2 linked regions of the Oryzias latipes genome follow. The protein of the gene in region 2 purifies or fractionates together with the protein of the main gene of each other region. This does not show direct contact. Links are inferred from orthologs where the notes say so. Each region holds a gene or a part of one and is shown on either strand. Other genes may lie near its edges.

Evidence for each region. The genes of interacting proteins can lie anywhere in the genome.
Region 1: the proteins of histone acetyltransferase p300 (region 2) and runx2 purify together in Homo sapiens (affinity purification with western blotting; 4 studies listed by BioGRID). This does not show direct contact. The link is inferred for Oryzias latipes from reciprocal best matches to the Homo sapiens genes EP300 and RUNX2.

Annotation. Positions count from the first base shown.
Region 1 is NC_019882.2:3,176,086-3,179,090, reverse strand, and holds part of runx2 (runt-related transcription factor 2), read right to left. Parts: intron 2,743-3,005; coding exon 2,581-2,742; intron 1-2,580. UniProt on the Homo sapiens protein: Transcription factor involved in osteoblastic differentiation and skeletal morphogenesis. Essential for the maturation of osteoblasts and both intramembranous and endochondral ossification.
Region 2 is NC_019866.2:19,344,793-19,348,001, forward strand, and holds the end of histone acetyltransferase p300, read right to left. Parts: coding exon 1,822-3,209; 3' UTR 577-1,821; downstream 1-576. UniProt on the Homo sapiens protein: Functions as a histone acetyltransferase and regulates transcription via chromatin remodeling. Acetylates all four core histones in nucleosomes. Histone acetylation gives an epigenetic tag for transcriptional activation.

The DNA.
Region 1 (3,005 bases), on a different chromosome or scaffold from region 2:
GAGCTCTGATGTGGCTCCTCTCCTCGCCTCCCGTCGGCTCCAGGATTTCACAAAAAAAAAATAAAAAAAATAATAATAAAAAGGGAGCTGCTCCATTTAGCTGTTTCGTCCCTCATTTTGCTTCATCCCTTAAAGAATACCACCCCCCACCCCAAAAAAAAGGAAAAACCACTAACTGGCTGCGGTGAGCTCTTTGCTGGGAGAAGAGTTTAAGGACTATTTTTTTTTTTTTGCCCCCCTCCCACCCGTCGCCTCATGGTGGTTTAGTCCAGCCATGGCGCTCTTATCATAAATCACCAGGCGTCTTCTGTGTCACCATGTCTGCTGTGAGAGGACAGGGGGTGGCGGGGAAGACGAGGGAAGAGGAGGCGAGTTTATGCGCATGGCGGCATTGCAGAGTCTTTTGGCGAGATAGCACATGCTGCCAATTAAAAGCCTTTATGAACCCACTCTGATAAAAAGTGTGTTTAGGTGGTTTTCACATGGTCTTGTGGCACTTTTCTGATGACGGAGAACATATATAAAAATAATCAAGCTTAAAGTTGCATGTCTGAGTAATTGTATTTAAGAAAAAAATTGGTTTGAAAAAGATCGTATTTGTTACGTAGAAAATACGCTAGAAAGAAGCTCCCTGCTCCGCTCCATTCTGATGCATCCACTTGTAGACGATCAGATCCGTGTACGTCTTTGTTTGCCTCGTCCGAGCTGGCATCTGGTGGAAACTGTACAGCTGAAATGTTCCTAGTGGGCGGAAGGGTTTTAAGCTAGCAGGAGAGAATGTAAAAAACAGATGGGTGTCGGGAAGTGGGGGCGGGGTTGCTGTGCATCAACGGTCCAGCTCACAATTTAGATGCAAGTTTCTAATAAACTACTGACGCTCTGCAGAAACTACCATGTTTTTTTGGGTGCAACTTGTATGAGAATTAAAAATAAATAAATAGCAACAACCACTAGAGGGCACTCACTGCAGGTGTTAAAGTATTTGCTACTGAGACCGACGCAGAAGAAGATGCCACGCTGAGTCTTACAGAGTTGTTCCAGTGGCACAGAGGATGAAAATTTCAATGGATTTGAAGTGATATAAAGAGTTTAGTTGACTTGTTAGCTTGTTCTTTATAATGTGGTTATCTTGATAATTGTCCATATGTTGAGCTAATTTACTAGATTCCTCCTTTCGTGAAGCTTTACTGTGGTAGTGAAGCGTGCAGATGTTCCTTTATTATGATTTGCTTTGCAAGATGAAATGTTCCTGTATTTTGTTAAATAGTTTTCTTTCAAAAGTGTGATTTATATATCAATTATATAATGATTTATTGTGCATTTTTTTGGCTGATGCGACTTATACTCCGGTGGGGCCTATAGTCCAAAGAAAATACAGTATGATCTAGAAAATAACACAGGTTTTTTTATTTTAACTTAAAAATGGCATAGATAAAAAAAAAACTGGGGACACTTTCTTTATTCTATTTTTTCATGCCTGTATTTTTATTGGGTCTTGTATATTTTTTGATTAGATTTATAGTATTTACCACTCCAAGGATGCTATGATTTAGTTGTATCATTATGTAGAATGACAATAAAGCATTCTGATTTGAAAATAGACCAAAAGGAGATCGGAGTGGGTTGTTAAAGTTTCCAGCAGATCAATTAAATTCTAATAATAATAGTAATTGTCCCTTGACCGACATTGTTCAGTAAACTCTTGTCTCTTCCTTTACAATGTTGGAGCCACTGTTCATTCTGGAAGGCGGCCTGTGATGACGGGCAAGACCAATGTTTGGAGGTGGGTCTTACAAACATCCCTTCTCGATGAAATGTTATGACTCGACCTGATAAACCGGCACAAGCCGAAGCCTCTTTATCGCAGTGTTTCTGTACGATCTCCAGGAATTTGAGCGGCACTTCCCTCTGGAGGTGCGAGGTGTGCAGCGGGGCCTGTGCACGCTCTCACATGTGCAGCGCCTCGAGAGCAAAGCTCCACACTCGCAGAGATGAAAGCCGAAGGGGAAGACCAAACAAATCAAAGGCTGGCGGAGCAGCTGGCTGGATCTGAAACTCTGTCTGATTCATGGCTGCAACGCCGAATCGCTCCAAGCATGCAGACGTATATAAACATACACAAACAGAGGAGAGGAGAACAGGAAAAAAAAAAAGAGTGATGGAAAAAAAATCGCACATGGCAGAGAGTCAAACAGGTGTACGAAGGAGAAACTTGTCTTGAGCTTTTACAGGAGATTTCAGGAGGAACAAATTGCAACACAGATGCTGCACATATTGCAAGCTACAATGCCTTGAGAAAGTTGTCTATCACTGCAGGACCTTTTAAAGTTTCAAGCCTCTTATTATTTGTGGGCCTGTTATTACTCGTGCTGCTTTGGGATCAAAGGAGTTCTAGAAAAAAAGGAAACATCTAGTTTATTCGCTGAAACGTCATTTGAACTTCTTTGCAGAAACGACTCGTGACTCACAGCTTAAATTAGCTTGCTGGTAAACTTTTTTTTCCCCCTCTTGTAAACGTTTCTGCTTTTGTTTGTCCCCGTGACAACTCGTTTTTCCCCTAACGAGTTGGAGGATTTCTACCTGGCAATCGTCTGGGCACGTCACTGATGGCTGGCAGGCCCGTGCCCCTGCTGGAGGAGAGGGGGGTGGTGGAATGGACTGAGGGGGACGCCATGGGACTCAGGTAGGACGGATACGTCTGTTCGTATGACCAGGGAGGAGAGGACTGGGACTGACGAGGGTCTAGTGGGGAGAAATGGAGGGAGAGAAGAAAGAGAAAAAAAAGGACAGAGAATGAAAGACAGAATCATCACAGGTCGACTCATCCAGAGGCTCCACATGTTGGTGCTAAATCATCACTAAAACATCTGTAGGGACAAATGGAGGGTTTGACTGTAAACAGATCTACCTGTTTGCCTTATTCAGCATCGTCTGAGTTGCTGAGATACAAAGATCTTTGTTGGTCTCACCCAGTCAGTAAACAGACCAGCAACCTCTCACAGTTT
Region 2 (3,209 bases):
GAATAACTTCTAAAATAAAACATTTAAGAGAAAGTTCTAATATTCTCGATAGAATTTGTTATGCTGTCTCATGTGTGTCAGAATAAACGAAATCTTTTTTGACCCTTCTCGAACTCCGTTGAACACATATCAGGTCGCAATAACATCTACGGCCGCTAGAGGGAGTATTACTCCAAGCGATTTAAAGCTGAAGATTTACGGAAAGCAGAGCGGTCTGATAGCGGGCTTTGGGGTGTTTGAACACCTTAAATCCATTATTCCAATTTTGACATTTTAATATTTGTGTCCAGCTTCCTTCTTTCCTTTGTAATTATTCAGAATAAAAGAAAAATGTTTTGGAGAAAAAAAGCAACTTTCAGCATTTTCAGTGCTGAAAGTCAGGTTTGTTTGTTTTTTTGCATTTTGCTGAACAGAAACCAAACGCATACTTTGGTTTTCTAAGAGTTTGGAAACTCATTGCATTACTGCATGGCAGGCTGTTACCTTTGTTTTGTTTGTAAACAAAAAACTTCATTCTAAATCTAAGGTAGAAGCAGGAAGTGCATCTTTTGAAGAAATATCCTTAGAAGACACAACCAAATTGGTAATTTTTGTTTTATTATAAAAACAGTATTCGAGTCCAGTTTGTTTCCTTTGTACAGTAAAAAATATTAAATTAAACTCCCAAAGTTCTGAGCAGAAAGATAAAGAGGATGGAGTTTGTAAAGAAGGAGCTCCACGTCCCCCCCAGAGGAGGATATAAAGTTGAGGGAAGCAGCAAAGGGGACGAGGGAGAAAGAGACCGAGTCGGGTGTATTTGTGTGTGTGGGGGGGGGTCTCCTTCTTTCTCCTCGTTTCTGTGCAACACAGTTCATTTGGATCATCATCATCATCATCCTCTGTTTACAGAAAACAGCAGAATCCTAAAAACACTAGAACAAGCCCGCCCCACCCCAGGTATTTAAAATGTTACAGGCACAAAGGTATGCACCCCCCCTCCCCAAAGCTCTACAGCTCCATTTGAAGTGTCTTTAACAGGAAGGAGTGCACACACATTCGAGGGAGGGGGCTTGCATGTTGGAGAGGGCTTCCAAAGATGTGTCCGCCGCCGCCCTTCCGGCGCAGAGCGCACTGCAATCAAACACTGACATCACTCCCAACTCAAGACATCTAAAGTGAAATAACATATACTAACCCCCCCCCCATCTTAACAGTCAATACCAAAAATATATTTCTGTAGGAACTGTAGCAGTCTCCTAGACGCCCACCCCCAGAAGGAAAAGAATAAATAAAACCCAAACATTAGAAAAAGGAAAGAAAAAAAAAAGCATCATGTTTGGATTTGAGGTGAAGCGTAAACAAAAACAAAAAAAGGCCCCAAAGAATAAAATAAAAAAAGGAGCTCAACTGATATAAAGATATTTGCATTAAATCATAATTTTGGACTTTAAAAACCTATAAAAACAGAACAGTTTTTCAAAAGGCAAGTACTTTTTTCACATACCCCCCCTCAAAAAAATAGAATCAACTTTCCTCTGCAGTACACGGGGTGACTTGTGGGATGATATGTGAAAGACCCCCCCCCCCCCATCCCTAATTGGCAAAGAAAACATTTAACAGCAATAAGTTACAATTCATTTTCATTCATTTAACGACTGCTTGATTTCATGTTCATCTCCCATAGGAAGTTCAGTTCAATGCATCTTTATTGAAAACATTTTAAATAACATTTAATAATAGTTTAAAAAAAGCTTAGTAATAACAATAACACTGTCCTGGGTGAGTGCAGTTTGTGCGGATTTCCACTGCCGCTCCGCTCCGCTCCACACGCTGACGACCACCCTACATGTGGTCTAAGGAGCTGTGGCCGATGTTGGGGCCCATTGGGTCCTGACCGCTGCCGCCTGGCCCGTGCAGACCAGCCATGCTGCTCAGCTGGGACAGCATCTCATCCGAGCCGAACGGCTCCATGGCGTTCTGCTGGGCTGCTGGCGGTTGTGGTTGTTGAGGTGCCATCATTCCTGGATGGTGCTGGTTCAGGTGGTTGGGATGAGGAGAGCCCGTCTGCATCTGGGGGGAGATGTGAAGCGGGGAGGGGTGTGGCTGCATGCGTGGGGACGGGCTGGAGTGAGGCGGCTGGGACTGAGGTCTGGGTGAGGGCTGTGGGGACCGGACCTGGTTGGCCAGAGATGTGGACATGCCCTGTCCCTGCAGGTGCGGGTGGGGGGACTGGTTCACCTGTTGAGGCTGCTGGGGGCTCATGGGGTTGGTGTGCTGGGCCGGTGACCCTCCCGGGCCGAGATGCTGCTGCTGCTGCTGCTGCTGATGGAACATCCTTTGGTGCAGAGTCTGTTGAAGCCGGGCTTGAGCGGTTGAAGGTGGGGGTCCAATTTGGGTGGGTTGAGGGACTTGGGGTGCTTGCTGCGGACCACTGATACTCCCTCCACCTGGCCCTACATCACCCCCCATGGCGTTCTGTTGCTGCTGCATCTGGAGGTGGTGCTGGTGCTGCAGTCTCTGCTGCAGTGCAACCGTGGCCTGCTGCTGAGCGACTGATCCGGGGTAACTTGGTGCCTGCTGACCCGGCTGTCCACCGGGCTGCTGAAGGGGTGGCCCCCCAGGAGGCCCCTGCCCCACTGCTGGAGGCTGCATGCCCTGCTGCCCTATGAAGCCCTGCCCCTGGGGGGGCTGTGGCTGTTGGAACTGACTGTGGTTTACTCCCATGTGCTGCTGCTGTTGTTGGTGCTGCTGCTGCTGTTGTTGTTGCTGCTGCTGCTGCAGCTGTTGCTGCTGTTGTTGCTGCTGCAGCTGTTGTTGCTGCAGCTGTTGTTGTTGTTGTTGCTGCTGCTGTAGCTGCTTTCTCATCAGCAACTCTCTAAACTGGGCTCCGTTCAGGTTTCCCATCTGGGGCCCCTGACCCGGCATTCCTCGACCCACGCCTTGCTGCTGCTGCTGCTGTTGTTGCTGCTGCTGGAGAGCTGCAACCTGCTGCTGCTGTAACCCACTGAGCATTGGCCTCTGCTGCTGCTGCAACTGCTGCTGCTGCAACTGCTGAAGCTGCTGCTGCTGCTGCTGCTGGACCTGCTGCAACTGAGCCATGGGGCTCATGTTGACATTTGTTCCTCCTTGACCCCCCATGTGCATTCCCTGCTGACCGGCCCCCACAGGATTCATGCTGCCCTGCTGGCTTCCTCCTGCAATGTTACCCACCGGTCCTCCTGGGACTCCTC